4 linked regions of the Caenorhabditis elegans genome follow. The protein of the gene in region 1 interacts with the protein of each later gene in a pairwise test. Each region holds a gene or a part of one and is shown in the gene's direction. Other genes may lie near its edges.

Region 1 (7,141 bases):
CTCATTTGTCGCTTTCTTTGCGGACATTGTGTGGGAATTACTAATTACATACGTCTTCACATGACCCTTCAATATTGACCAGCTATCCTCAAACCAACTGAGCACACACACACAGCGTGACATCTGTTCATTTCTTTTTTTTTTTCATTTTTTGCGGTCATGAAACTTGGAAAATTCAATTTAAAAGTCTCATTTACTTTTAACTTTCGATTAAAATTGAAAAGAAAATTTAAAAAACAGTAAAACAAAACAAATAAAATTACAGTTTTTAAACAATTTAAAAAAATGAAAGGCTTTTGTACTTTTCGCTCCGGGACCCATCAGTGTCAAAAACTCAATGCACCTTTAATCTCACTTTATTTTAATTGTTTTTCTTCGATTTCGCGTTACTTTTCTATAGTTTTCCTATTTTCAGAGCTTTTCTCTCACTCACTCCAATAAAATGGCAAAAACTTACGACTACTTGTTTAAGGTGAGAACTTTTGCATGCCAAGATGTCAAGAAAACATCGTTTTACAGCTCTTGCTTATTGGAGACAGTGGAGTCGGCAAGACGTGCGTACTGTTCCGGTTCTCAGATGATTCGTTCAATAACTCGTTCATTTCAACAATTGGAATCGACTTCAAAATCCGTACGATTGAGCTCGATGGGAAGAAAATCAAACTTCAAATTTGGTGAGCTAGTTTTTATTAAATCCGATTTTATAAATATTTTTTTTCAGGGACACAGCCGGGCAGGAGAGATTCAGAACTATCACAACGGCTTATTACCGCGGTGCTATGGCATGTTTTATCAAAATTTATTTCACAAAATTTCAAATTTTAATTAATTTATCTTTCAGGGAATCATTCTGGTGTACGATATCACCAACGAGCGATCATTTGAAAACATCAAAAACTGGATTCGCAATATAGAAGAGCATGCGGCTTCGGATGTCGAGAGGATGATCATCGGCAACAAATGTGATATTGAAGAACGCCGTGAAGTGTCGCGGGACCGTGGAGAGCAGCTCGCAATCGAGTACGGCACGAAATTCCTGGAAACGTCGGCGAAGGCCAATCTGAATATTGATGAAGCTTTCTTCACACTGGCTCGTGATATCAAGAGCAAGATGGAGCAGAACGAGATGCGTGCCGGTGGATCAGTTTCGAATACGGGTCGTGTGAACGTCGGTGGATCGGGGACACAGAAGAAGAGCTTCTTCAGCAACTGGAGCTGCAATTTGCTTTAAATTTATTGCTCTCTCGCCATGTTCTGCCCTTTTCGAAGTTGATTGTGATTCAATTCAATTCAACTTCAATAGTGTACCATATCTCTTTTCATATTTTCTTTCCGTTTGAATTTTCTGTTCCAAAAACTCCTCCTTCGCACATTTTTGTATGCAGTACGGTTATAATTCTAAAAATAACCTTTTTTCTTCTCTCTTCTCTTCTGACCATAATAACCAACACTTGCTTTGTTTTTACCATTTTCGTCCCGTCTATTTCTCTGTGTCCGCTCTCTCTCGCATATTCAATTCACCCCCCTACACCCAGCATTCTGATGAGATTTCTTTTCAGGATTTCAGATTTATTTTTTTCGCGAATGTATGAACCAAATTGCATGTTTTCCCAAGTTTTTTGAATTTTCTGAATTTTGATCGAATATTGGGGTTTTGTCGGTCATGCAAATTAAAATTAATTTTTTCTAGAAGTTTTTTACTGAGCTTCTATTTTGCAGAGTCAGATTCATATACCAGCGACATTGAATAGTAGAAAGTACCACAATTTTGAATAGTTAAACACGAAAAACGTTGCAAGTATTACGGAGACGCTAAGTTCTGAGAATGCGTATTGCACAGCATATCTGGCGCGCAAAATATCTCGTAGCGAAAACTACAGTAATTATTTAAATGCCTTCTGAAGTGTCGATTTACGGGCTGGTCTTTCGATACGATTTTTTTTTAAATTGTGACAACAATATTCGATTTTCCTCCAATTTTTCGTTTAAAAAAACTAAAGAAAATTGAATATCGTTGTCACAATTCGAACAAAAATTTGTTTCGAAAATAGAGCCCGTAAATCGACCTACAGTAGTCATTTAAAGAATTACTGTAGTTTTCGCTACGAGATATTTTGCGCGTCAAATATGTTGCGCAATACGCATTCTCAGAATTAAGATATCTGATGTAATTAAAGAAAAAATCTGTCAAGGTTTGAGTTATCATAAATGTCTGCTTGATTAGTTGATCAATGGAAAAACGAAGACAAAAAGAGTAAAAGACATTCGTCAAACGGCGACGACAGAGAGCACGTACCGCCTGATAAGCGACTCACGTAGCCTATCTTATCAGCATCTCAACTGTGCACGCACACACACAAAAACCCCCGGCTCCATTTGGTGACGACTCACGTGATATGATGGCAGAATGATGATCAACTTTCCTACTTCATTGCTATCGATTCACCGATGATGATAAAAAAGGGTCAGGGACAAACAGAAATCACGGGATACGACCTAGATTGTACACATAACAGAAAGATTCCGATTTCTACTCATTCCTTTTCAATAATCATGACCGAATTCACGTCACTTTTTAACATTCGTTTTTCTTCTTCTTTTCTTCAAAATATATTTCATTTTTAAAAATGAATTCTGTTCGAATGCTCGCTAAGAATGCAATTAGACCACTCATCAAAACTCGGAGTTATACTGGATTCTCTCAGTCGTATGTTATTTGCTTGAATTTTAGATTCTTGTAACTCCTGAACACTAAAAACACTTTATTATTACTTTAAAAAATTCTGAGAATGCGTATTGCACAACGTATTTGACGCGCAAAATATCTCGAAGCGAAAACTACAGTAATTCTTTGAATGACTACTGTAGGTCGATTTATGGGCTCAATTTTCGGAATGTATTAAAATAATTTATTTATCGAAATGACAAAAATCGAAAAATTGAATATCGATGGCACAGAAATTCATTACAAAAATCGTTTTCGCTACGAGATATTTTGCGCGTCAAATATGTTGCACAATACGCATTTCGAAAGCGAGTGGTTCCCCTAATAAAGGAACTTTTAAGTTGAAGCATAATACTATTACGGGAAGACAAGTTTCTGAAAATGCGTATTGCGCAACATATTTGACGTACAAAATATCTCGAAGCGAAATCCACACTAATTTTTAAATGGCTACTGTAGCGCTTGTGTCGATTTAAAATTACTGTAGTTTTCGCTACGAGATACTTTGCGCGTGAAATATGTTGCGAAATACGCATTTTCAGAATTTTGTGTTCCGTAATAAGTAGAACAAATAACAAAAAATTCAACTTTTTCGCTTGAGATCACATTTTCGAAGTTTCTAATTTCATTCGCACTTAATTTGCCCTATCTTCCTTTTCTTCCAATTCACTTGATTTTTGCCATTTTCTGACGCTGATCATAGTTTTTTTGCCTTCTCAAAATCTCATTCTTTTCCTTAACCTTGTTCCTTATCAATTGATAAGATGCACACCGTCTCCGCCTCCCGACGTGCTCCACCCCTTTCCTGCTTAAATACCAACTATTTATGCTCATTGAGCAGTATTGCAGCCTTACCAGCCACAAACTACCATCAATAATGTCTCTCGCTCGTCAAAACTACCACTCCGAGGTTGAAGCTGCCGTTAACAAGCAGGTACGTCTTTATTTCGATGTTTCTAAACTAAATCCCCTAATTTTTCAGATCAACATTGAGCTCTATGCCTCATACGTCTACCTTTCAATGTCATTCTATTTCGATCGTGACGATGTTGCCCTTCCAAACATTGCCAAGTTCTTCAAGGAACAATCGGATGAGGAGCGTGAGCATGCTACCGAGCTCATGCGTGTGCAGAATCTTCGTGGAGGACGTGTCGTGCTTCAGGACATCCAGAAGCCAGAGAATGATGAGTGGGGAACCGCCTTGAAGGCTTTTGAAGCCGCGTTGGCTCTCGAGAAGTTCAACAACGAGTCGCTTCTGAAGTTGCACTCGACAGCCGGAAACCACAACGACGCGCATCTCACTGACTTTATCGAGGAGAAATATTTGGACGAGCAGGTGAGGATTATTCTATTTTTTTTAATTTAGAATCTGATGAAATTAACAGGTCAAATCTATCAACGAATTCGCCCGCATGGTTGCCAACCTCAAGAGAGTCGGACCAGGAGTTGGAGAGTACGTCTTCGATAAGGAACACTTTTCCGATTAATTAATATATATCTTATCTGCTCATCGCATCTTCTTTTGTTCTCTCTGTACATAATTATTTGCGAAAATTTACAAACATGCCACAATCTGTCAAATGAAAAGTATTGATCGAAGCGTTTTTGTTTGCCACAGTTCATTATCATACTAATTCCGTGTCACAATCTTTCTTGATAAGCCGTTTGGTCTTTAACTTTCCAAAGACGATTTTAAAATTCTCGGAATTCGAAATCGAAAATGGAACAGAATAGGAATGAGTGTGAAGTGCAAAAAGCAGGCAGATTAGAAGATTTCCATCGGCCTTTGTTTGACTTTTTTGCAATCGAGAAGCGATGCAAATGGGTTAGCGAGATGAGTTATGGATTCGCCAGGAAAAGAAGGACATTCTCCTCCGCTTTTGTTTATTTTGATTTGTTTTCCTGGGGAAAGATTGATTCGGAAGGTGTGATGGATGAATTGAAACACATCAGTTTTAACTCTAACAGTAAGATTTTCTATTATTTGATTTTTCAATAATTGTTCAAAGAATTGTGCTAACTCAATTTTTGCCACTGAAGCTTCACATTTACTTCGGAAATTATTGCAGAATTTGGCAATTAAACAAACCTTTGACTAGAAACTTCAGAAATTTCAAAAATTTTCACAGTTTTTTAAAATTATATTTGTTTATTTGGAATCAAATTCCGGCAAATCGGCAAACCCGTGAATTGCCGATTTGCTAAATTCTGGCGGAAAAACGGCAAATTATGGTTTTGCACTTTTTTTTTGGAAATTTCAGAATTTCAATTTTCCTCGGCAAAATTGTACGCATCCTATGAATGTTCCTACATCAGCTTTGAAAAGTAAGCTAATTCTATGAAAATATAATATATAGCAAAAAACGGGAAAAAAGTTTCAAAATGACACAGTTTTAAGTGTTTCCGCTTTTCAAGAAAAAATTCCGTTTCAACAATTCCGGCAAATCTGATATCCGGCAAATCGGCAAACCCACAAATTGCCGGAATTGAAAATTTTCAGCAAATCGGGAAATCTTCAATTTGCCGATTTGCCCAACGGCAATTGCCGCCCACCCCTGATAGAATCACAAAATGTTTTCAATTTTAGATTGCGACGTAGCCTAGAAAAAACTAAACACGACCAGCAATTTTCCAGAGTGGCCGAGTTTTTGCTTTTTCTAGGTCTTTTAGACATTTAAGTTAAGCATTCTAGCTTTTCAACAAATTTGTTTTGTAATCTTATCAATCCTATACCATGTTTCCTTATTACACTCCAGAACTACACATTTCCCCCCCTCTAAATTCTCTTTCATTATCTCACGAATTCACTCAATTCCATAAAAAGAAACGCTGTCTTCGCTGCTTTTCTCAATGAGTGAAAGAGAGACAGATTTATGCAATTCAATTCTTTTATTGTTATTAATACAAATCCGTTGTGTGAATTACGACGAGTGGCCACACACACATATGTATACACATTTAGTGACTTTTCATAGTTTGCCAATGATTCATCGACTTATTCAAAGTCTCCAGTAAACAAAAAGAGTTAGAGTAGGTGACTGGTCAAAAGAGTTTGTGTTTGAACTAATATAACACTTTCTACAAAAAGTTGACCTATCTAGTGACCAGGGTCCTACCGCGAACTAAACTCCACAAGTATCGTACCGTTTTCAATTCGTTTCCTTATGATTTTTGCGGCCACGTACATATTACGGGAACACAACATTCTGAGAATGCGTTTTGCGCAACATATTTGACGCGCAAAATATCTCGTAGCAATAAGTACAGTGTCTCTTAAAATGACTACTGTGGCGCTTATATCGATTGACGGGGCCGACCCAAAACTTTGAATTTCGAGAAAAATTTTTTTGAGCTCTATTATTCTAACTTTCCAGCAGAGCTAGAAAGATGCTTTTTTTGGAAAAATCATTTTGAAATTTGTTGTGGCTAGAAATGTTTTGAGACTTTGACATTTTCCCCGGAAAACACTTTCTCCTTTCAGTTTCAATATTTATCAGACTTGAAGGCTACCGTACTCTCAAAACCTTACACTTTCCAACATGGGTCCCGAGTGAATTTGAACCCAATTCCAACATCCATTATGAATCAAATCTTCTCTCCCCCATAAATGTCAAATAATAAGAGGTCATGAACCTAACAATACAAAGTATTCCGAAGAAAAAGTGAGACTTCGGAGCGATTAGCCTTGTCAAATCCGTCATACTTGTCCGTTTATCCTCTCCCCCGTTCTCCTGTTCAAAAGTACTTGACAAGAAGACGTTTGCTGGTTGAATTGGCCGAGAGAGATTATTTGACGAATTGTTTGGGTTTTGTGGCTTGTCCGGCAAATTTAAAGAATAAGCCAAGATGCAGGTGGAGCCAATATCATGTAAAAAACCAAAAATTTCGGACTTAAAAATCAAAAACCAAAAACTTTCAAAAATTAAAAATCTCCCAGTTCGTTGTACAAAGTTAAAAGCTTCCTGCTCCAGATTGTCCAAAGTGTACAAAGTTAAATTTTATCAAGTTTGAAAATTTTTCAAATTTCCCAGTTTGTTTCAAAAATTCAATTCACTAACTTCTGAAATTCCGAAAATCGCAAAAAAAACTTTTTTTTTTTAAATCTGAAAATTCCAACTTTTCCCAACTTTAAAAATAAATAAAAAAAACCACACTTTTCCAAAATTGTACCAAAATTCAAATTTTGAAATATCCAAAAATTCTAGACTTTCGAAAAATTCTAGCTTATCCGAAAAATAATTTTTTTCCAAAAATTGTTCCATAATATCTAAATTTAGAAAATTCCAAAATATCCGGTTAACCCAAAAATCAAAAAATTTATGGAAATTTACGTAATCCCTAATCTACAAATTTTTCTGAATGATAACCAAAGTCAAAAGTAAACAAAAGCGTCGGAAACCCCTAGAATAGGCTCCG
Region 2 (7,714 bases), on another chromosome or scaffold:
ATATATTTTTAGGGTAGACATGAATGTGTGCCATGTTTGTTTCTTATTTGAAAGAAAAATTTCAGCTCATTAGATCAGTTAGCTTACTAATTCAAACATCATAATATTTTTTAAATTTCATCCTCACACAACTTATGCTCACTTAAAAAAATTATGTTTGAGTGGCATATTTTGAGAATTTCTTAAATTTTGATATTTTCAATTGATTTCCTAACATTTTTCCTGTGGAAATTTGGTTAATTGTGACAATCTTAATATAGTTGTTCATCAAAACTAGGGTTTCGTGGGAGGTGGATAAACGCCAATTGCCGTTAATGAAAAATTTGAATATAAGTAAAACTGTTCATTTTTGCAATTTTTCCAGTTTTTCATAATTTTTTCAAAGAATGTCCTCCTCAGTTTTCATGATAATTTTAGGAAAATTTCTCGATTTTGCTGCTTAAAATCAAATTTTCAGCATTTTTTTGTAATACAAGAAAGCTGTTGGTAATTGGCAAATTGGTGAAATTCCAGTGTGCCGGTTTGCTGAAGTTTTAATAAACGGCGACTTTTTTTACCTAAAAAAAAATTTTGCCTAAAAATATTGGACCAAAATAGTTTTCACATATGATCTGAATATTAAATGTTTTCATTTTAAAAAAATTAAATCCTTTCTTCCTCCCTATTCACATTTTTAAAAAGCACATGAGAGTGAGGGTTTTTTGCCGCTTCAATAAAAAGTTTTGCCTTTTTTTCGCTGTTTTTTGCCGAATTTTTTGCCGCTTTGCTTTCAACAGTAACTGGCGGAATATTTATGATTTTCAGGAAATTAATCCATTATGAATACCATCCTTGTACTGGTACTTGTGACTGGTATAGTCTGTGCAATATTTGATGTCCTACTTAATCTCAATTTAGTATGGATAATTGTTTTGTGAGTCTAATTTTTGCATGCCATTTTTCTCATTATATTCATTTATTCCAGGAAAAAATCCCAGCGGAAACCTGAAATGCGATTATTTTATTATCGATTCGTTCTGGACGTTTGTTTTGGTCTGTCGTGTAAGCTTAAACCAGTGTTTTCTTTTTTTCTAATTAAAAAATTTCCAGTGTTGTCATACATCAGTTTCCTTTTATTTTATTCTGAGAATTCATTGTTTATGGTCGAACATCGCAGCTTTTTAATTTTTTTGGGCCTTCCTTGGTATATTGTCGGATCATGCCGTTCTATAATCGCACTTTCAATTGCACTAGAACGAGCCACTGCAGTGTACTTTCCAATTTTATACAGAACTAGTGCTCAGAATGTTCCGAAATTTTTAATTTTCCAAGTTGCCCTGGTATATGGCTCTTTCGATTATATAGTTCTATTTGTATTTTGTGACTGCAAAACAAATTTAATTCCTGAAAACTGCAAGAATTTCGGTTGTGCAGTTAACAAATGTTTCTCCAACTATTTCAGAATTCAAAGAAGTGTAAGTAAACTATACAATAAGCAGCAGACATTTTTCGGTTTCGGGCAGTTTTTGAGTTTTTTTGGGAATTTCTAACTCGATAAAATATTTCCACCTGTCAAACTTGAAATAATAGTGAAAAAGCGGAATAGGGCAAAAGTGTAAAATTATGGTTTTTAACCCGGGACTATTTTGGCCTCCTAATAAATTTCAAATATTTGTTTCTGAAAAAAATTTTGTTTCTAAAAATTCAAAAAATCTGGAAAAAAAAGTTTACCAGGTGAGACAGGAAATGTTTCTAAAACTTCCAAACACAACAAAATTCTATTCATTTCAGACTGTATTTTCCATCAACGTATTTGTATCTATACTTCTCTTTGTCAATTTATTCCTACGAAATCGGAAATACTTAAAGAAACATCCAATCAATAACAAACCTACAAAAGTAAAAACATGTTACTAAATTATTTTTTCAATTCCTCAATTTCCAGGCAAATCGTCTGGCATTACTGGACACTTGTACAGTGTTTTTATTTGATTTTCTTCCGGTCTTTTGCGGCGGGATGTGGCCTAACATTTTTTCAATTGAAGTAAAAAATTTTTATTTCTAAAATAAGTGCACCCTTTACAGGTTCTGGGTCCTTTTACAGCGGTAATGAAAACCATCGGATGTGCCATAGAATCAACAGTCGTCTCAAGTCTCTTGTATTTTGGAAAGCCAAAAAGTGCAAAAATGAAAAGTTCGGTCGCGGTTGGGCAATTTAAAATTTCCAGATAGCTTTTGAATTTTTCGATTTTTTATAAAATAAAACATATATTTGTATCGGAATGCCAAATGACGACTGCAAATAAAATTTCATTATGGTATTTAGGCCCTTTTGATAATTGAAAAATCGAAGTTCCAACCAGGAGTGGGCGGCAACGATTTTTTCAGCAAATCGGCAAATCGGCAAACTACTGGAATCGAAAATTTCCGCCAAATCGGTAAACTGGTAAACTGTCGATTTGCCGAATTTACCGGAACAACGGCAATTGCCAAAAATTTTCAGAAAATTGTAGTTTTGCACATTTTTTTGTTGAAAATTTCTGAATTTTTATTTTAACCGGCAACATTGTACGCATCTCATGTATGCTCTTACATCTATTTTGGAAAATAAGCAAATTCCTTCGAAAATATCTAAACCAAACGAGACAATTTTGTAAAAGGCACAGTTTAAAGTGTTTGCGTCTTATAAAAAATCGCTCTAAAAACTTCCGGCAAGTTGATGTTGGGCAAACGGCAAATCGGCAATTTGCCAAAAATTAAATTTTCCGGCAAATCGACGAATCGGCAAACCATATTCAAACCCCAATAATTTTAAAATACAAAAAATTGAAATTAATTAAAATTTAAAAATCGCAGTAAATTTAAAGTTTTTGATTGCACTTAAAAACGTATTTCAAATTATTTTCGAGAAATTTTATTACAATTTTTCAAATCCAAAGCTTAAAACTCTCACTTCCTTAAAATAATTTTCTTCCTTCATAATCTTCACCCACATTCTACGTCATATTGGAGTATGTGTTTCTCATGCTTTGTGCCGATTATTTGTCTCACTCTCTACCACTCTCTCATTCTCCAATACTATTTTCCGTGCCTAGTTTGTGCCTAGACCCGAAACTGTGTACTTTCTGTTTCTATGAATTTTTCTGATCAAAATGTGACTGGGTGAGTATATAAACAGTTTTCGGAAAGTTTTTTCCCATCAGATTCTAAATTTGACACACTCGAGTTCAACATGACCAAGTACCGTCTTCACTACTTCAACGCTCGCGGATATGCAGAGGCTTCGAGAGCTGTAAGTTTCAACTTAAAACAAAATTGTCTAAATCCAAAATTGGTTACTTTTTGTGAAATTTTGCTTCTGAAGGTAAAACAAAATTAGAAGAATAAATCGTAGGAAAAAAATTATCTGGATCGAATTCCAAAATTTTTGAAAATCGGAGTTTCACTACTTTTTGACTACCCATAAAAATTTCTAAATTTTTAAAAAATTTCTACTACGAGACTTCAATTTTTTCGAAACCTTCCACATTTTTTTATTAACTGAAACTCTCTCCAGATGTTCCATATGGCCGGCGTCGAATTCGAAGATGTCCGATACGAAATCGATGACTGGATCAAGGAAGAAAACACCCTTAAAAACGAGATGCCGTTCGGGCAAATGCCTGTGCTAGAAGTCGACGGTGAGAAGATCCCACAATCCGTTGCAATCGCTCGCTTTGTTGCCAATCAACTTGGATTTGCTGGACAAACTCCGGTAGAGAAGGCCTGGGCTGACGCATTCACCGATCTTTACAAGGACTTCTTGATTGACATGAAGCCATGGGCAATGATTGCCTTTGGGTATCCTGGTGCTGCTGGGGATCGCGACGAGTTGAAGAAAACTTCGTTGGACCCTGCTAAGGAGAAGTATTTCAAGCTTCTGAGCAAGAGATTGGAGAAGAGCAAATCTGGTGAGTTGGAAAAAATAGAAGGCGTTGAAAAATTATATCATTTATTTCTAGGATTCCTCCTGGACAGTGGAATCTCGTTTCCCGATCTCTTCTTCTTCGAAACCACAACTTCTTTGATTGAGTTGGAAAAAGGATTTTTGGGAACCGATTTCCCAGTAGTCAATGCCTACTTCAAGCGTATCGCTGAGCACCCGAAGCTCAAGCCATATTTGGAAACAAGACCATACTCTTCAAAATAATTTTTTTTGGCTATTTGAAATGTTTTTTTCATGAATTGTAATGTTTTTGTAAACTATTTGATAAATATGAACATTGGAAATGTAGAAAAAGTTGAGAAAAACTTTATATAAAAATATGTTTTGCCTGAAAATTATACGTAAAAATTTTTATGAAAATTTTCAAAAAAAAACTGAAGTTTGTAACGAAACTATTAACAAACATTTGCAAAAAAATTTAATTATTCTTATAAAATGCAGTTTACCGGTTTCAAGCGATTCCGAAATGGACGCAGCAAATTCAAAATCTAGGAGTTGTTTAGCGCGCCCGACATATTCTGGGTTCCACCACCCACTTAAGAAACATAATGAATGACCGATCCCGAAAAAAGTCGGACGCGCAAAACGCCTACCTTTCGCTCACAATCAGTTTCGAAGTTCCCAAAATATGTATAATTTAATTATTTTTTTTCCGTTATATAAAACAGTTTTGAATTTCTCAATAACTCAATATACAGGGTGGGCCAAAAGTATGGTAACACGCTTGCAGCTCTATAACTTCACGTGTGGAGAGAGTTATTACATCAATTTGTACAAGTTTTGTTCTCCATAAAATACTGACCAGATGAACGTTTTGAATTTTCAAAATATCCCCATCCACATTGCTGCAGGCCTTCAGAACTTTTGAGATCACGATCTTTTTGGCACGCAAGTTGGCATTCTGCGGGATTTCTACATTTTTCTCAAGGAATCCATTAAGTTTCTTATAAGTTTTTATAGTTCAAAGAATGCTCTTGGTCTGGAGATTCTTTAAAAACAAAAACCCAAAAAATTTCTATCGTGGTATTTCTGTCATGGACTGTGGCAGTAGCTGAAGTCTTGAATGACACAGTCACCAGAAAGATGGATTGCGAAACCTAAAAAACTGAGTAAATTTCGCAAAGTTGAATTCATGAAATATTCAAAGGTTATTGCTAGGCGCCAGTGCCGACACAGAAAATTTTTATAGGCTACAAAAACAATCAAAAGCGCTTCTTCACTTCTTTAACTTTGAATTTAACATAAAAATCATATGTACATCTGAAAATTATTGGCGTGCGTGGGAGGTGTGTTTGTGTGGGAAGTGCCGCGTGCCAAAACACCGTTTTTTCGAAAGGGTTCGCTAAATTGCCGAGGTGATTAAAACCGCACCTTATTGGGAAACATTGCAAATTTTAGGTCAAATTGAAGGAAATTTATTCAGCTATTAGTATTCGATAGAAGAATGTACGTATAACGTGGCAGACGCGCGAAAAGCTCATGTAAAAGAGCGCTTCATGTGTTACCATACTTTTGGCACACCCTGTATAAAGTTTATTCAAAATTTTCATAGTTACAAATTAAATTACAAAACAAATATCCACAACACACCCTCATATCATGAAGGTATCCTAAAACACGTGGAATTCGAGTTTGCACTGTTACAAACCACTGGATCGGAAATTAAGATTCCTGAAAATTTTTTCAAATTAATAAATTTAACTTCCTATTCAAAACCCTCTAACCTGCAACAGTAGCATTCATAAAACAAGCGATGGCTCCTGCACAAAGAGCACGGAGCATAACCTTGGAAGCCACGGTTTTCCTCCCTGGAGCCAGACCTCCAATAACTTCCATTTGAATCCCCATTGAGCCAAAATTGGAGAATCCACAGAGTGCGTAAGTGGCAACTAGCACTGATTTGGGATCCAGCTTGCCTTCTTTTTGAAGTTGACCCAGTTTATCATATGCCACAAATTCGTTTACGGCAGTTTTGGAGCCCATAAGTTGAGCCACTCTTTAACAAATATGTGTGTTTTTTATTCGAAAACAAACCTAACTCACAACAAGGTTTGATTCGAATTATTGGTAATACCCATTATGTATGCCAACGGGAAAAATGCATAACCAAATAACATTTGAAAACTCCACCCATCATACCCGATTAGGTCACCAATGTAGAAGAAAATTTGGTCCAGCAGAGCTAATAGAGACATGACTACTACTAAAGTTGCTCCAATTGCAAAAACCGTAGGGACTAGAGCAACTCCCGCCGAGCACAGAGTATCGAAGAATCCTTTTTCGTTCTCATGGTCCAGCTCGAAGTCTTCTTCCTGGAAAGGATTTCAAGTTTCAAGATTTTATCTAAGTTTATCTAAGTTTATTTATCTAAGCCTCTTTGTCGGACTCGTGAAGGTCCCGACCTTTTTTATTGTTTCGATTAACTTTATTAAAACAATAAATTCACTTATGGGTCATCCTCAAGGCAATTAAAAAAATTAGACAAGCATTTTTCTATGTTTTTGTATGTCTGTCTGTCTGTCTGGGAAATATTTGACACAAAACCTAACCTTGATAATTGTCTCCTGTTCTTCTGGGTACATGAGTTTTGAACACGCTAATGACATTGGAGCTGAGAGAATACTTGCGGTTAGAATCGATTCTGGGCATGCTCCAAGAGCTACATAAGCGGCGAATACAGTACCACCAGTGCATGAGAATCCACTAGTAAGAACTGCGAATAGCTCGGAATCTGAAACAGAAAATAGTATCAAGGTTCCTTATGGGATAACTGAACACTTCAAACTCACCAGTCAACTTCTCCAAGTATGGCTTAATCACCAGCGGAGCTTCAGTTTGACCAAGGAATGTGCACGCCCATGAGTACACAGATTCCACTGGCGTCGTACCAATGAGCACTTTCATAAACCATGTGCTCTTTTTCAGTGCGATTTGAATAATTCCAAAATAGAATAGTAATGCTACAACCGCCGAGAAATAGATCAGTGTTTGAAGTGAGGTGAATATAAAAACAGGTGCCAAATCACAAATATTTGGCGGTCCCGCAATAAACCCGAATACGAACTTTGCACCGACTTGAGCATACTCCAGGAGTCCAATAATTAACTGGGATAGTTGATCGAAAAACCAGCGACCAGTTGGCCATTTGAGGACTATTAAAGCAAGGCAATAGTGGAATATAAGTGCGGATGTGACGATGTTCCAATTGATCTAAATATTTATAGTTCATGTGATTATCATTTAACTTTTTCTGGTAGGCCGCAACTAAAAGCAGGTAGGCTTCTTTGCGCCTATTTCTGGAAAACTTACCTTCCTTGGTCTATTCGAAAAAACGACCATAAAAATCACAAAAAATACGTAACCACCGAATCCGGTAAGTCTAGTCGGTTCAGACAGTGATTCTACAATGGTATAAGCGAACAAAGCACCAGCAAATGCTAGCTTAAACGTTCTGAAATTCTCATTATTGAAAATGAGCACAAGAACACCTTACATCGGAACAAAAGCTCGTCGTTTTGCAAAATCGTTTAGTTTTCCTGCAAAATCTGCATAAACCACCTTAAAGTTCTTTGTTCCAACTATAAAGTTGATAACGAAGCATAGCCAGAAAAATAATGTGACATAGATTAATGGAGACGCTTTTTGGTAATTGTGTATTCCCGCAGCTACTGAAATTCAGAAGTATTAAAATTTATTTTTTAATTCCAGGAAATGTAGTTTTGAAAACTTACTTAAATACCCGTGATATAC
Region 3 (7,623 bases), on another chromosome or scaffold:
ACCATTGATACTGGAGGCTGTGACTTGAAGACTGGAGGACACATGTTCGGAATGTGCCGTGACAAGTACGGATCTGCAGTTGTCGGTGGATTCTTCAAGGCTATCGATGTTCTGAAACCAAAGAACATTAAGGCTGTCGGGTACATGTGCATGGTTCGCAACAGTATTGGATCTCATGCTTATACTTGTGATGAGGTTATCACTTCCAGAAGTGGAAAGAGAATTCACATTTATAACACTGATGCTGAAGGAAGACTTACAATGCTTGACCCCCTCACTCTTGCCAAGGAAGAAGCTTTGAATGCTAAAAATCCGCATTTGTTCACTGTTGCCACATTGACCGGACACGAAGTTCTTTCATACGGATATTACGCAGCTATTATGGATAATGGTCCAGCTAAAGCAAGTGGATGGGCTCGTCGTGTGCAGAATGTCGGAGATGAATTTGGACAACCAATTGAGATCAGCAGACTTCATCCAGAGGATTTCGCTTTCCATATGGCCGAATGTGAACAGGCTGATCTTCGGCAGGGAAATACAAAGCCATCAGTTGCTACCCTCAGAGGTCATCAGACGCCAGCTGCATTCTTGCAAATGGTACGTTCTCAATTATGAAATTTGTCGTTTAAGTAAAATTTAAAAATTACTCAGAAAGCCAAAAAATATGAAATATGAATTTTCGTCCTTAAATTATAAACTAACAATTTCATTGATCAATTTTCTGTCTCTGGAATAAAATTTGAAACAATTTTTCAGGCTAGCCGCATTGACGAACATGGCACAAACAGTTCTCACCCATTGAAGTATTCTCATATCGACATGGGAGGATGTTCAGGAGATCATCCATCAGTTAGCTTCCCTAATCCACTTGTCACCCTTGTCGCCGGCCTTGTGCTTCCTCACGTTTAGAAATTTCCCGATTTTTCGTTAACCATTTTCTAATGCTCTCCCTACTCATTTTGGTGCTGTGCACCGATGTTTTCTGCCAGGCACACATATTTAGTTCAATACCGTATCTTTCAATTCCATACTGAAAAAGATATGATATCATATCTCTCTCTCTCTCTCTTTTATTTTAATTGCATCCCAACTTTATTTAGCCCTTATACAGGGAACCAGAGCTTGTTTCTTATCATTCGCCCCCGGAATCCTTCCTCCATTCTCACATGTAAAATAAATACGTTTGTCCAGAAAATCACAAACAACATGCACAACTGAATAGTTCCGGCTGAACAAAAGACTGGATTAGAAGTATAAATATCCAAATAGAGAAAAAAACTTATCAAACTTTTAGTTGTGTGTCCACTTCTTGTTTTATTATAGGCTCTTTGTCTTTTTTGTTTCTTATCTTTGTGCCGATAAAGAACTGAAACCAAAAGTGTCAATGGACTGTCAAAAACCACTTTTCAAGACCTTGTTTAGTGGCTCCACTTTGAATAAATAGCTGAAATTCCGAGTTTGTATTTTTTTCAAGAATTCAAAATTTTGTTATATTTACAGCTTTAGGGTGTGTAAGTGTTGACATTTCAAAACTTGTGCGAGAATTCTCAAGAGAATTTTAATTTTTTTTGTAGTTATTGCATTATAGTTTCAACGATTTTGGCATACTTTCTTAAAGGCGCACAGAGTTATTCAGATAGGTCTCGATGAGCAAAAAAGTTTATGGTAGTTTCTTTTAAAATGTTTATTTTGAAAAATTATTTAAAACAGTTTTAACAAAAGTAAAGAAAGGCATAAAATTCACCTTAAAAAACTTTATGCTTCAGATCGAGCTGAACATTATAATATGATCAATTCCAAGCCATATAAAAATGAAAATCCTAAGAGAAGAAATGAAAAAAACTTTAAAATTTACGACCAACCTTCGAACCTATCACCTCACCCATCAAAAAACAGGTTTATCTATCAATTTTCAATTTTAACACAGAGATCCCAAACCATTCACATGTTCTTCTTATTCAAGTCAGACCACCTCAATGGGTGTTACACTTTAGATTGTCCTTTTTATCTTTATAACCTTGTTCTCTTTTTGTATTCTTTATATCATTCGGCAACGAACGAATATTTTGCTCTCTTTTATTAATTTTGCGTTTTTTTCGCTAAAAATACGGTACACGGTCTCGAAACGACACATTTTTGTTAAATAAAAATTGTGTGCACCTTTAAAGAGTACTGTAATTTCAAATTTTTTTTTCCACTTAATTTTCATCGATTTTGCATAGTTTTTCAATAAAATTGTATTTATTCGATAAGAATAACGCAAAAAATGAGTTTGAAATTACAGTTCTCTTTAAAGGAGCACACCTTTTTGTTATAATAAAATTGTGTCGTGTCAAGACCTTGGACCGTAGTTTTGTCCAAAAGTCGCATAATTTCGCGTCTGGGTAATATTTTTCTTCAGACAAAAATTCAAATTTCAAAACTTGTTTTCATTAAATTCCATAACATTTTTGTTTCTTATCACTATACGATTCGCGAAGAAAAAAAAACAACAATGGGAGAAAACAAATTATGCAAAAATAACACGAGTGGGGGTGGAGCCATGTGCTCTGCGTTTTCTTTCTCCTCATTTCTCATTCTTTCCCCTCTTATTTTATGCGCCCTGCTCAAAATCGATTTCGGCTCTCCCACGTATGTTCCTGGGAGCTCATGAATACAAAGAGCATTTAGAATAATGGTAGATCTTTGTTTTTCATACGTGAATTTTGACACTTTTTCAGTTACTTTTTTGCCTACAAACCGCATACGTATTCGTTATCATAGGTAATATGACTGATATGACGATCAATTTTCCTCCTATTCTCTGCCAACACAAAGGTGTAACAGATGCAACGTCGCGCCGCCCTATCGCCTTTTGCATTCATTGAAACTGGCGCCACCAAATACTAACCGCCTATTAACTTTAATCTTGTACAGTTCTTTAACCATTCATCTTCCATTTTTATTCATCCGTGATTTTTTTTTTTAAAGTTAATTTTTATTTTCATTTCAGCGGAGTAAGCCATCTCACAATGCCAGTTCCACAATCCGAGCAACTCGTAAAGCTTTTGGAAGTTCAGAGTGTAAAGCTGAATGAAGTGCAAAACAATTTGAGACTGAATCGATATAAAGCTCAACAAGATATTCGTCAAGCAATCGCTGCAATGATTGTATCACTTAGAGAACGCGAAAGACAACTTATTGGAGATCTAGATAGAGCATTCTATAAAAAAGAAGGAAAACTCGTGAACCAGATGGATATTGTTGCCGAAGAACTTGGTGAGTGACGAAATTTATTTGCTTTCAATTATTTTTCACATTTCTCTTCATTTCAGCCGCTTGTAATCTTGGGCTCCCTGCTGGCAATTCTATTCTGAATGTGGATGATGACGTACGTCTTGAGCTGGATCTTCCGATCTCAGACATCAGAGCTATGCACGAACGTATTCTCAAGATGGGAGAAATTCGAATTTCACAAAATTGTCAACGACTTCCAATGAAGAAGGTCGGACGTACTTTGCCTCTTGATATGGAATCATATGACGACGACAACATGTGGCTTTTGACCAAGAAGAGCAAAACTGACACATCTCCTGAAACTCCACACGAAGTTGATACTGTGAAGAGTTGGCTGAGCCGTCTACCAGATGGAAATGCTGCTCTCAACGTCGACTTATCGTCTTTTGTAAGCGGAGAATCGAAAAGTGAAAGCTCGGAGAGCAATGCAAGTTCATTTGAACTTCTAAATGAAGTGGCAATGTGCTTGAAGTATACTGCCAACGCCGACAAGGCATTCCGTGATAGAATTGAAACTATTCACAACGAGCCAGCTAGTAAATGGTTACTTCATTCCGATGAAGAAAGCTCTTCAACACACCTACCACGCCCTCCAGTTCCAGCAAGATTCCGAGATGATGGTGAAGACAACGAGGATGATTTTGAGAGAGAGGACATCAATACCGAATGGTGAGTATTTAATATTAGTTTTGTGGAAAGCCAACTAGAAATCTATATTGCCACTTTAAAAAATTTCATTTATTTTCAGCTCATCTGACTCATTCAAATTCATCGATGTTATCAGCAAACTTCAAAATTCCGAAAATTCCAAATGGCTACAAGCACAACCAACAACTATAGAAATGAATGAAGATGAAGATCAAAGCCCTGCCGCAAATCACAGAAGATTCGTTCAGAAGTATTGCCAATAATGGTGTTTTTTTTTAATTTCATTTTTGAGCCAGTTCATCAATAATAAACAAATTGTACAGTTTATCAATTCATGAATTCAAATGTTCAAGTGCTCCAGGTTTATAGTCGACAGATTCCAAGATAATGTTTCCGTCGACAGTTCGGACTGGAAGAGAACTTTGTTGATAAGAATTCGGAAAAGTACACTTACCTCGAAATTGCTGATTAATGTTTTGTGCCCGACTGGCTTCTAATATTTGTTGAAGCAAATCAACTACACTTTTTGCATCTCCACTCATTTCAATTACTTCTGACTCCCTTGGAGGGATTGTTTGAGAGAAAACTTCTGATATAATTAGAAGAAAAAGAATTGAAAAAAGTAGAAATCTATGCATTTGAATATTCAATAGTGAATAATAAATAATAAACAAGTATACCTCCAAAAAGTGAGGGATTTTTCAATTTTATGGGATGATCATAAAACTAGATTTCATAATTTCAAAGTGAAAGTGAAAATGTCCAAATTGTACCTAATATTATTGTACTGTACCGGAAATACATAACAGAAACACATGTTTTTTTTCGTTTTTATTTTGTCCATTCTTCATACCAAAATGGATATTTTTGGGTTTTCAGAAACACATTAAAATACAAATACAAAAGTGGAAAAGGTTCACAAGTTTGGATGAGATAATCTGTAGAGGATCATGGCTGCGGAAATATTTGGAACAAAGAAAATGATTCGATTGAAACAATTCGAGTCGACATGGAAGGCATTTAGGAAAGCCATTTTTGAATTGCTATGAAGACAACGGTCTAGAGTTACACGATAGGTGTGATGCATCTGAAAATGTTTTTTGAATGATTAGATTTAGTTTGTGTGAGTTTTTTAACTTCAACAGAACTCGATTATCACTTGAAAACAAGAATTTCCAACAAAGAGTACTGTAACAAAAATTGTTAAAGAGTGACAATTTTTCAGTTTTCATCTATCGTAAATTTAGAAGTCGACAAACCTTTTTTGTCTTAATATAATTTTCTGAATATGTTTCAATCGAGTTTAAACATGCGAAACTGCTATCGATTTATTAAAAAGCTCAAATTATTTTCAAATTTGGCATTTTGCCAGTACTTTTTGCCGAAAAAATTATCAATGAATACTTTGAAGTTTACAAATAATGGGTGATTAACAACATGGCTGGCTCAGTTTAATATTTTAGGGGAAATATATAAAGAAAGATCAGCAAAGTTGCAATGAACAATCACAATTTTTTGCAAAAACTGAAAAGAGTCAATTTATGGGTGGAGTCATCTTTGGCATTCTGAGCATTACACATTTTATGTGACATATGTATGTTAAAGTTTTCAACACTCGAGAGAAAGCCAAATAATCAAAAACCACAAAACATCCCCCACAAGGGTTATGAAATACCTACCTGATCATCTCCACATGTTTGCAGTACATCGTCATGCATTAAAATTTCAGCGGTTTCCTGGATCTACAAATGTCTTATTTAGTTTTACATCTTTGAATAATTTGCAAGAACTTACATTACTCTGAACTTTTGCTGGTGGCGATAATCCAGCAACAGTAATTCCCATACAAACAATAGTCCATCCATTGAGAAGAACATATATAGCTGGATCCATAACAGATTTGAAACTTCCAACAATATATGCAGCATTTACAAATGAAATTAAAGTAAATAATGGTACAAGTGAACCGTATTTGCTCATTTGTTGGTTCACAAATCTGGTGAGTTGAATTAGATCCGAGTGCCGTTTACTGTAGTTATTTAACACTTGAGGCAGCTGAAATTTGGATTTACTACAATAAAATGATAAGAATCAATACCGTAAGTTGTTGAAATCTTGCACTATTTGTTAGTTCTTTATTGAAATGTTTGATTTCTCGATTCAAAGCTGTATTTACTGTGACATAAATAACAACTGCAAGTGCAGAGGCAATACATCCGATAAAGTCAATGAATGGTGCTAGCTGATGGACCACGGAATCAGAATAGAATGTGCTGAAGTTGTATAGAGTTAGGAACAATATATTATAGGTGTGTATTTGATGGAATTTTGATAAAGAACGGCTTACAACCTGATGGACTTCCAAAATTATGATAGGTTAAAACTGAGTTTTCACCACTTTCAACACTGTAAAACAGTAGACTGTAAAACGAAATATTTTCGAAAATTTTCTTTAAAAGGTTTCTTATGATATGTGGTAATTTTCAGTAGTATCAAATAATTTTCCCGCTGACGATACTCCACTTTTAACCTAAAATAGCCTTTTCTCATTAGACCCCTTCCTCATTGAACAGGTCAATAAACAAATATTTACATGCCCAGTCAGATGTTTTCCAATGTATACAAAAACCTAATACCATTTTTGAAATAAAACACATTCAAACTTACGTAGAATCATTCAACATGTACCGATTGGTAACAGAAGAATAAAATGAAGTGCTTAAAGATACGACAAATATTGGAATAATCATTATTGCAGCTTTTCTGTGATAAGTCGTATAGTCATCAATGCTTTGACTTGTCGATAATCTCATTGTTCTTAATCGAGCAAGTGTGTCTTCAAACTGGGACACAAATCCTTCACGAGTCCAGCACATTACTGAAATTGCACTGAAAAATGCTTGCACTGCCATGAAAGCATAGACTGTTGATTCTGCCCAACCAATTGAAAATGACTGAAAACAAATTATTCGCATGCTTTATATTCTGAATGTTACTTACTTTATCTTCAATTTGCATTAATACAATAATTTTGATGATAGAGATAATAAGAATGATTACTGCTACACCTCCGGTTAGTATTCCTTTTACTGATCGTATGCTTTCTTTTCGTAATTTATGACAATCTAGTCCAGAGAATCTAAAAACGTATTTAAATTATCCTCCCCGAAGAGACACAAATGTTACCTGACAAGTGGTTCGAATGGTCCGAGAAGTTTGGGAGCTGGCGGAGATGGTAGTTGTGTCGGCTCGACACCCGGTTTAACATACAGACCGCCGAGGCCTATTGTGGTGCCCGCTTCAACCATCGGGGTTTCGAATTCTGAAAGTCACAGGAATCGAAAACTTGTACAAAAAGAGCTTACACAGAAATTTGCAGTATATGTTTCATAACCACTAGAAGATCATTTTACAATGAATTTCTGAGGACTCTCCAGATATTTATATGTTTCCTGGCTCGTAAAAGTTGTGAAAAACAAATAAATATTCAGATCGTGGACGAATAATGTCTTCAATAATCTTCAACCCTTGTTTCCAAACACTAACTACAGGAGTCATCCATCTTAAAATAATCATTATAGTTTTCAAAAATACTGGAGAGTTAGGGAAGTTATGCGAAAAATGAGATTGAATTGTTGTCCTGCATTATTACATATCTAATTACTATTCAACGAAAATACATGTGCATACATCGGAAAA
Region 4 (8,693 bases), on another chromosome or scaffold:
AAAATTATAAATTTTGCTTATAAATGTTAATTACCATAATAACTCAAAGGCTGATCAAAGGTGTACTGAGATTTTTCAAAAAGAACTAAACATTTGCAACAAAACTACCAAAAAATATTTGAGAAAAAAGTTAATTTTCCCTTTAGAAAACTATATTTCAACTCTTGAAAATTGAGAAATTTGTCTAAAACCCGTAAATTTCGCGTCTGGGTAACAAAAAATGTTCAAAAAATTTATTTATTGAATCCCGTGAACATTCATTTTTTTATTTAGTTTTTTTTCTAAATAAAAACTGCCGTGTAATCAATTTTCGTCATTCCTTCGTTCGGTCACGGCCGCAAAATGTCGCGAATTGTGGATGGCATCGAAAATTTTCTATTCAAACTTGGCATTACTTTTGAGGTGAGCTATAGGTTCCAGAGTTCTTCGTTTGCAAAAATGGAAGAGTGGCTGTGTGTGAACCTCGGCCGTGGACAGAAAAATGGAGTTATGCAATCGCGCTCCGCTACACAAAGCGATTCTCGCTCTCAAAATTGACGAGCTTTCAAAATTGTCCACAATCCTCAGAGCTTTTGTGAAAAATAACTGAGCTCTCACCAAAATGAGGATAATAGGCTGTAGGCAGGCATGTAGGCATTGCTCTCCAAAATCGAAATGTCGCGGTCGAAGCCCGTAAATTGTTCACAGTCTGAAAATTTCAGAATCAATATTCAATGACCAGTGTCGGCTACATGTGCCTGTATCTCTGGCAGACGATGCTTTATCTGTTTGATTCATTCTGCGCAGTTACCGGAGATCGCAAAGTCGAGCGTTTTGACAATATCGGCTTCTTCGTTTCGTTCATACTTTTTGCGGTGAGTAGATATGAAAAATTCAAATTTTTAGAAAAGCTTTACAGATCATCTATGGTTTATTGTTCGTGTTGATCGAGCCGGAGAACAAGCGATGGTTCAGTTTCTGCGGAATTTTAGGGGTAATTCAAGTTTTGTCTCACTTCGATGTGATCTACAAAAAATGCGGGATTTTAGACGCAGACTTCTCAATAGATTTCGTATGGCTAATAGTAAAAGCGTGCTGACGTCACATAATTATGTGTGAAAAAATCCCGCATTTTTTGTAGATCAATTGATGGGACAATCTGACACCTACTGGAAAAAGAAAAGATTTCGTTTAAAACAAATTCAGAATTATTCTAATTTCTCGATATTTTCCGTGTAGTTTTACCGCAAAAAAAACCTCGGAATTTTTAATGTGCGCTCAAATTTCAGGCAATCCGTCTAGTCACCTCCACCATCTTCTATTTCTACATTTATCTTCGTTTGAAAGTTGAGGACAATCGACAGTTTTTGTATTGTTAGTATTATATTTTAGTCTTTTAAAATTTCATTTGTAGAATCAATTTTAAAATTAAAACTTTCAGGGACAAACCGCATGGCTCCGATTTCAATGCTATTCATGTCCGGGTTGTTGATGATTTCGGTGCTGATTATGTGCAAGATGAGGTTAGTTTCCGGTCTATTCGATATGAAACCCGAATCTATTTTTGTTTCAGCTTTTTCCGGTCGTCTAAGAAGGTGCTGGAAGATTTGTACGAAGTTGAGGAGACTGGTGGAAAGAAGGCTGTTTAAAAGCAAAATTGGATTGTCTAAATTTTTGATATTTATTTTCTTCAAAAATAAATGACACCCTAAAAATCTACTTGTAACTTTACGACACATTTTGCTCACTTTCGATTAATTTTATGAGAGTATAACAATAAGGCCCAAAATCTGAAAGCCTACTATTGAAAGAGCTTAAGAGTCGGAGAGTAGAATAATAGGCTTGAAGCCCAACGACCAGACCTGAATCTCCCTCACTATGGACTGTTTCTGAACATGGGCCTTTAAATGAAACAGGCCGCTGGCACCTTCAGACCCTTTCCTAGTCATAGTATCATTTGGAGCACTAATTTTGAAGTACTTTTTTACTCACATACAATTGTTACTATTGAGAATGTTGCACTTGTATGTAAATAATAGGGAAATGGATACACAATATTATATTACTAGGACAGCTTTCATAAAGAATTGCTTTCTTGGGTGACAGATGTTCCAAAAGCAGTTTCACAAAGTTTTCAGCCGCTCCAGCTTTCTTAACACTAAAACTGATTACTGTCATAGGTAAAATGTAGACATGTCTAGTGTAGCGTAGATATTTATAGTTCAAAACAGTTCACATTGGTATTTGATTATTGGAATAAAAACATTAAAACCTAGTCAACTGTGGAGTTTTCCAGTTTTTTAGTTCTAGTTACTCTAACTGCTTACTTTCATCTAACAACTGACATTTCCTATTCAATTGTTGAAATCTAGCACCTATCGTTCCTATTTAGAGTTCTTTTCGAGCTTATTTTACGAAGTGTTTAAAGTCTAAATTTTTTTCACAGAAAATCCGGCGACTGCTTTTGAACCGTATTTCATACACTTGAACCTTCTGTGTAATATTTATTTGTTCAAAATGAAATCGAATATTATTCAGAATCATTACTTATATTATCATAAGAGTTGTTCGAATTATTAAAATTGTTGTTCGAACGGAAGAGGCAACCGCAACAGCAGCAACAGCAGCACACGATGAAGACCCCCATCAAAATGTACACCCAAATCTGAAATTAAGACGATTCTTTCAAGCTCTTTAAAGCTTTTTCAGGATCTGAAGACCTGAGACGTTACCTCAAGAGCAATACAGCATTCGTTGGTGTCATCACCGCAACGATAGTAGTGATGGGCAATCGATGGCTTACCGCACTTATCTCCACTAATGATTTGGAAAATAGTATACAGCAACATTTTCGGCAACCTGACAAACTTTCACGTCCACTCCGTCGCCGGCGTCCGAGTTGACAATCGCAAAGATCACGATGATCACGCAGAAGATGAGAAATTTGAGATTTAGCATAATGAGACTCTGGAAAAATGATTGATTTTTGCAAAATATTGCCGACTAGAACTCACAAAATCCAACGAGACCGCCGAATCCGACAAAGAAAATACCGAAGACTGACTTTTCGAAATTTTATTTTTGGAAGCGAAACGTGTCATCAGTGGGGTTCAAGGCTATGACGATCAGTGAGAAGTCACGATTTTTTGAAAGAAAAACTGTGAGAATAAAGAAAAATAGAGCCCGTGCGGTGAAAATCAATTTTAAAGTAAAAAAATTTCAGGGACAAACCGCCTGGCTCCAATTTCAATGCTATTTATGACCGGGTTGCTGATGATTTCTGTGCTGATTATGTGCAAGATGAGGTTATTTTTTGGTCTATTGCAAACAAAACCCAAATCTATTTTTATCTCACTTGTGCGACGTTGAGTAGACTGCAGGGAAGAAGGCTGTCTGAAACAGAAAATAAGATCCTCTTAGTTTTTGATGCTTATGTTTATGAAATCATAACAATAAGGCCCAAAATCTGAAGGCCTACAATTCAAAGAGCTTGTCGGAAAGTAAAAGAAAATGCTCGGAGACCAACGACAAGACCCAAAACTCCCTCACTAACTAAAAGGACTGTTTCTGAACATGGTCTTTTGAATGAAACAGGCCGCTGGCACCTTCAGAACTTTTTCCTAGTCATGGTATCATTTGGAGCGCTAATTTTGAGCCAGAGATATGCTCTCCAAAGCTCAAAAGATCATATAAAAACTCAGTGATCACATTTGTCCTAATGACTACTTTCTCATTCAACACGCTTTTCAACATCTCGCGGTTCATTATTTCCAAAATCTCGCACATAATCCACCTGCAAGAATTTTCCTTTTTCGTCTGTGTGTCTATTGATATTCTGTTCTCTGTCGGCTCACTACTTGTTTTTGGATATTTCTGCTCAACCACCTAAAATGAACAAAAACTGTTTGATTTGCCATCGAAAAGCAGCTGGGCAGCATTATGGGGTGAGTTCCCTGCCTATACCTACCTCATCAATTTTCTTTTCTGAACAGGTATTATCGTGCTTCGCTTGTAAAATGTTTTTCCATCGAATGGTCGTTGAGAACTTACATTACTGCTGCCAAAAATTCAATAAGTGCTACGAAAAGTTCATTATTCTTCCAAAGTGCAAAGCGTGTCGTTATCAAAAATGCTTAGAAATGGGCATGCAAGCCTTCCCTCGACGCGTGAAATCATTTGAAGAATCAATGGATTTAAAGATACAGCGAATGCTCATGAATCTCAGCGAAATGGATGAGCAAAGACATTGGAGAATGCTCAACTCGTATTCAATAGAGGATCCGAGTCTGGGAGATGTTTTGGTAGATTCTAATGTGATGAAAATTATGAGAAAGGTTTTTTTTTGGATTTCGGAATGGAAACCCTCCAAAGAAAACTATTCTTACAGCCTTCCAATCAGAAAGTAACCGCTCACGAATGGGCATTTCTTGACGTGTATTCCAGGATCTCCCATTTTTCAAATTTTGAATTTATGAATAATATTAGCTTTGCTGATAGAGTAAGGATAAGTTTTTTCGTTGGTTTAACTTTAAAAATTATATTGAGAAATTAATATTTTCATTCAACTGCTTGCGAACAGGAGTTTTCCACGGAAGTATGCGAACATTGCGAGAACAACGAGATTGTCTTTTGACGCCGTCTGGAGAAGATGTCTACCCAGACGCTGTCCATAATCTATTCAAGGATTCTCCGGGGCTTTTGAACAGGACATGTTGTCTGCTGGTTTCCAAGCTCATCGAGTTGAAAGTTACAAATGAAGAATATCAATTGCTTAGCCTGATATTCTTTTGTAATCCGAGTAAGTTTCTACATGTGTTTCCTGTAAGGCTTCCATAGGAGGCAGGCGCGGGTTCAGGGCCTGACACCTGCCTCCAACCTGCCCCCTCAGGCCGGCCTCTCCCTTATTTCTGCACTTTGGCAAGAAGTCAAAGGCTTGGTGTTAACACCACATAGTACGAAAGGTGGATCTTTCTCCGCGGTTCACGGTGCGAGGCAGGCGGACGTCGCCGCTAGGCGGGCGCGGCGCCTGATTGGTTCGAAAAAAGAGTCATCAACAGTTGATTGACCTGACAAATCCCTTTGAGGCTTTCAACTCCAAGCTTGCTAACAGAAAATTTTAAAATTTTCAGCGATATCCCACAATCTCTCGGATTTCGCTCGAAACACGCTGGCCTCACACCAAATCAAATACAGCTCTGCCTTATTCCGTCACCTACAAATTACAAATCCAGGAACTGCGCCTGTCAGATTCCAAGAGCTTATTTCACTTGTTCACGTCATCAATCGTGTCACCAATGACATGCAACACGTCAGCATGATGTTTCAGTGTATGATACCAAGTTTCAAGTTCAAGCAACTCGTCACAGACACCTTTGTGGATTGTGGTGTTGTACAGAAAAAGTCGAACGTTAAAATTTTAAACGAAAAACCGTGTGCCGACAGTTCTCAGGACTTTATATTTCATAAAAATAAATTCATTCATTGAACACAATCAAAATTACTGATCAGCCTTTCTGGAAGCGAAGTGAGCCTCAAATTCAGACTTCTTCTTGGCGATGAAGGAATCGTAGGCAGCTTGATCTTCAGAAGATTGAGTCTTAATATAGGTGTCAACTTGTCCAAGGAATTGATTGAATGCGGCACGAGCAGCGTCACGATCAATTTCAGTTCCTTCAGCTGGCTTTTGGGATGCAAAGTCAGCAGCAAGCTTTAAGAATCCACCAGTTGCTTCCTATACTCCTCGCTTAGACTTCGTTTTTCTACAAAAGACTTCATTGCACGGGCAAGTGAGCCGGTTCGTACGACATGGTACTTAAGAAGAATAGTTTTATCTTTATCACTCATTGTTTGAATAAAATCAAAATCCAAGAAATATGATACTCTAGAATAAGCACCCAAAAACAATAAGTCGCTAGCTGGAAACTCGGCACCTGATTTCTAAAAACTAAAATTTAGAGCCATTCCTCTCTTCTTGGACTAGTAACTTTCTCAACAAGTTTCATAGAATTCCTGTCCCTCAAAATATCCTCCAGACTAGGATTCTCCATAGAGTAAAATTTCGAAAAAGTGGAATAGTTTTGGCTATCCCGCACACTCAAATCTTGGAGTAATTTGCAAAATTTGTCCGGATCCTCAATTTCCAGAAAAGTTGCCTCGTATCGCATACCAACTTTCAGACATTTCTCAAATCGACAAGCTTTACACTTTGGATAAACTTTAAAGCTCGTCGAGCACTGATTGCTCGATTTGCAAGTGAATTGCAACTTTTTTTCGAGCGTTCTATGGAAGAACATCTTACAGGCGGAACACGAGAAAACCTGGAATAATTTATTTGAGCCCTATGATTTTAATACAAAAATGTATTTTTCTTACCCCATAATTCCTAGTGTACGCAGTATTTCCACACACAAGACATTCCTTGGCTTCCAAATCCACCTGTCGTTTGGAGCTTGATGTTGTTTTTAGCATGGAGAAACGAAATTAGATAAAAGTTTTGAAACAACAAAACTAGGCGGTAGCTAAATGCGATTACAAGTCAAGTGGAATGCATAAACGCTAATGAGTAGGTAACCGGGAAAGGTTCATTTGATCACTGGAAACCGGTCACTGGAAACCTGAGGACATATAGGATACATTATTAGTCGCTCCGTCCTGGCAAGGCATGATCAGAACGCACTTTTACAGCCTCTTATAGTAAGACCGTCCGCCTTGCTCTCAAATATTTCGTCAGTATATTTACAAAAAACAAACAAATTTGTGTTTTTTCTCATTTCATTTTTATTAGTCAATTTTTCGGAGGCATTTTCCCGGCGAAAGGCGTGGAGGCAATAGTGAAGGCGGGCGGCTTCGATACGGGCGGCACAGTCCTAGGAGTTTCATAACCCTTACGTTTGGCAGAGATGTTAGAAAATACGTCAGTAGTGGATTTTGAGAGATTGTGAGGGATTTTCATTCAAACAAATCCGCTTCAAACCAACTAATCCCGCTAAAATCAAGAGATCGGTCATGAAAAAGCTCAAAGAAATTAGGAAAATTAGGAACACAGTAGTAATATTATTTTGTTATCGAGGCGCCTTTTACCTACCTGTTTGCACCCTCGAGTCTTACCGCAAACCATACGAATATTTCTTTAAGAAACCAAAAAGGGAATTGTTTTGGTTCGTTTTTGTTTTTAACATTTGCAGAGGCGATATCCGGGCGAGTGGCAGTCGCCTTGCGGGTGGCCATGTTTCCACAAACAAAACATTTTTCGTACTTTGTATCCACCGGTGTATGCTGCATTAAATCAACCTGCTAAATGAATTTCAAATCTCTTGGTCTTTTCTCCACCTCTATCTCTCCCTCTCTCCCTTGCTCTATTTCTCCTGATTTCAGCTTATATGACTACTAGTGAGCAAGCCACTGGCTCAAATATATGCTTATTTATTTCACCCGGTTCGATTCTCAATGAAATGTTTAGTTTGTTGTTCGTATGCTAGCAGTAGGAATTTTGGCGTAAGATTCACATATCTTTAACTAAAAAAACACACAAATATTTCAGGCGTTATCATGCTCGGCGTGCAAAATGTTCTTCACTCGAGCAACGAAAAATTACGCAAAGTTTACCTGCAAATATGACAAAAAATGTTTCGAAAGCTTCACAATTCTTCCAAAGTGTCAATTTTGTCGATTCAAAAAGTGCCTAGAAATTGGAATGAGATTTTCGGAACCGAAACAGCAATTGTTTAACCTGAATAATTCGGTGGATCAAGATTTGATAATTCTACTCGGAAACCTTGCTGTGAAAGATGGTGTTCATTATTCCAACTTTTTAAACTTCTATTCTTTGGAGGACCCAAGTATGGACGATATTTTGGCAGATCGCAGCAGGATGAAGTTGATGAAAAGGGTAAGTAGAATTTACCTTGTCCAGAAGGGTCATACCAGTGCCCTCCATTGTAAAACAATGGTGAAGGGACCAAAATCAACTGAAATCAGTGATGAAACTTCGGACCAAAATATCTCGGAGCTCCCTTGGGCATAGCAGCTGGAAATTACAGAGGAATCGTCTCAGACCTCCTACTGTGGCTTGACACTACTTTTGTTCCGAAGTCAGGAATCCCATTTAAACACTTCCCTTGTTAGCAGGTGTTGTTGAAATTGAAGTATAACTGACAAGGAAGTGAAAATTTAAACTTGTGGAATTTAAAGTTAACACTGTGCTATTTGAAAAAAATATGTTGAGTCTACAAACCTGCAAAAGAAAATAAGCGACGGAAAATATATTTTTCAAACTTTAAATGACTTTCCGGAAGCCTAGAAAAATTCCAGATATTTTTTTCATTGCTCTGGCTAATTGTAATGAAGCTTTTACAACTGTGTACTGCACTATAGTGATTTTCCAAAAAATTAACAAATTAAAAAAAAACGTTTGATCTGTTTCGTGCTAATTACTTCCTTTTTTATTCATAAGTTGTGTTATGACGAAGATTACATATTTTTTGAGTTTTAGAAATTGAGATTGTTTGAAAAGCTTTTTAAGAAAGATCTTTGAGCTGCAGTGAAGCACCTTAAAATGGAAAATGTCAATCTTACAATTTTAGACGCCTAAAATTTCCCCAGGTGTGGAATTAGACAGAATTTAAAAATTTAAGCGGTGCCCAACTTTTGACAATTTTTGCCGATTTTTGCCAAAGATCTCATACATAATATTACTTTGAAATAATCTCTAAAGT

The links.
Region 2: the proteins of ftn-2 (region 1) and gst-33 interact in a two-hybrid assay, tested with the Caenorhabditis elegans proteins (one large-scale study listed by BioGRID).
Region 3: the proteins of ftn-2 (region 1) and W07G4.5 interact in a two-hybrid assay, tested with the Caenorhabditis elegans proteins (one large-scale study listed by BioGRID).
Region 4: the proteins of ftn-2 (region 1) and nhr-51 interact in a two-hybrid assay, tested with the Caenorhabditis elegans proteins (one large-scale study listed by BioGRID).

What each region holds. Positions count from the first base shown.
Region 1 is NC_003279.8:3,677,361-3,684,501, reverse strand, and holds ftn-2 (Ferritin), read left to right. Parts: upstream 1-3,574; 5' UTR 3,575-3,602; coding exon 3,603-3,659; intron 3,660-3,707; coding exon 3,708-4,061; intron 4,062-4,110; coding exon 4,111-4,212; 3' UTR 4,213-4,322; downstream 4,323-7,141. Other genes in the region: rab-8 (Ras-related protein Rab-8A), read left to right, coding at 443-472, 520-674, 722-782, 842-1,231.
Region 2 is NC_003283.11:3,463,987-3,471,700, reverse strand, and holds gst-33 (glutathione transferase), read left to right. Parts: upstream 1-3,138; 5' UTR 3,139-3,211; coding exon 3,212-3,271; intron 3,272-3,535; coding exon 3,536-3,929; intron 3,930-3,980; coding exon 3,981-4,168; 3' UTR 4,169-4,250; downstream 4,251-7,714. Other genes in the region: srbc-29 (Serpentine Receptor, class BC (Class B-like)), read left to right, coding at 819-913, 965-1,041, 1,090-1,454, 1,771-1,878, 1,925-2,023, 2,065-2,211; slc-28.1 (Sodium/nucleoside cotransporter), read right to left, coding at 5,562-5,635, 5,689-5,960, 6,008-6,276, 6,514-6,695, 6,754-7,174, 7,274-7,415, 7,458-7,632, 7,696-7,714.
Region 3 is NC_003283.11:13,044,988-13,052,610, forward strand, and holds W07G4.5 (RILP-like protein 1), read left to right. Parts: upstream 1-2,992; 5' UTR 2,993-3,011; coding exon 3,012-3,258; intron 3,259-3,314; coding exon 3,315-3,945; intron 3,946-4,024; coding exon 4,025-4,187; 3' UTR 4,188-4,251; downstream 4,252-7,623. Other genes in the region: lap-2 (Putative aminopeptidase W07G4.4), read left to right, coding at 1-597, 757-909; W07G4.8 (TonB-dependent receptor), read right to left, coding at 4,257-4,333, 4,379-4,562; srr-1 (Serpentine Receptor, class R), read right to left, coding at 4,841-5,011, 5,604-5,666, 5,719-5,979, 6,023-6,197, 6,592-6,878, 6,925-7,063, 7,111-7,246.
Region 4 is NC_003283.11:15,670,157-15,678,849, forward strand, and holds nhr-51 (Nuclear hormone receptor family member nhr-51), read left to right. Parts: upstream 1-3,850; 5' UTR 3,851-3,869; coding exon 3,870-3,923; intron 3,924-3,971; coding exon 3,972-4,313; intron 4,314-4,366; coding exon 4,367-4,477; intron 4,478-4,524; coding exon 4,525-4,777; intron 4,778-5,108; coding exon 5,109-5,464; 3' UTR 5,465-5,728; downstream 5,729-8,693. Other genes in the region: K06B4.15 (DUF1084 domain-containing protein), read left to right, coding at 343-402, 702-854, 899-973, 1,269-1,353, 1,421-1,502, 1,553-1,628; Nuclear hormone receptor family member nhr-52, read left to right, coding at 7,426-7,473, 7,520-7,867. UniProt on the Caenorhabditis elegans protein: Orphan nuclear receptor.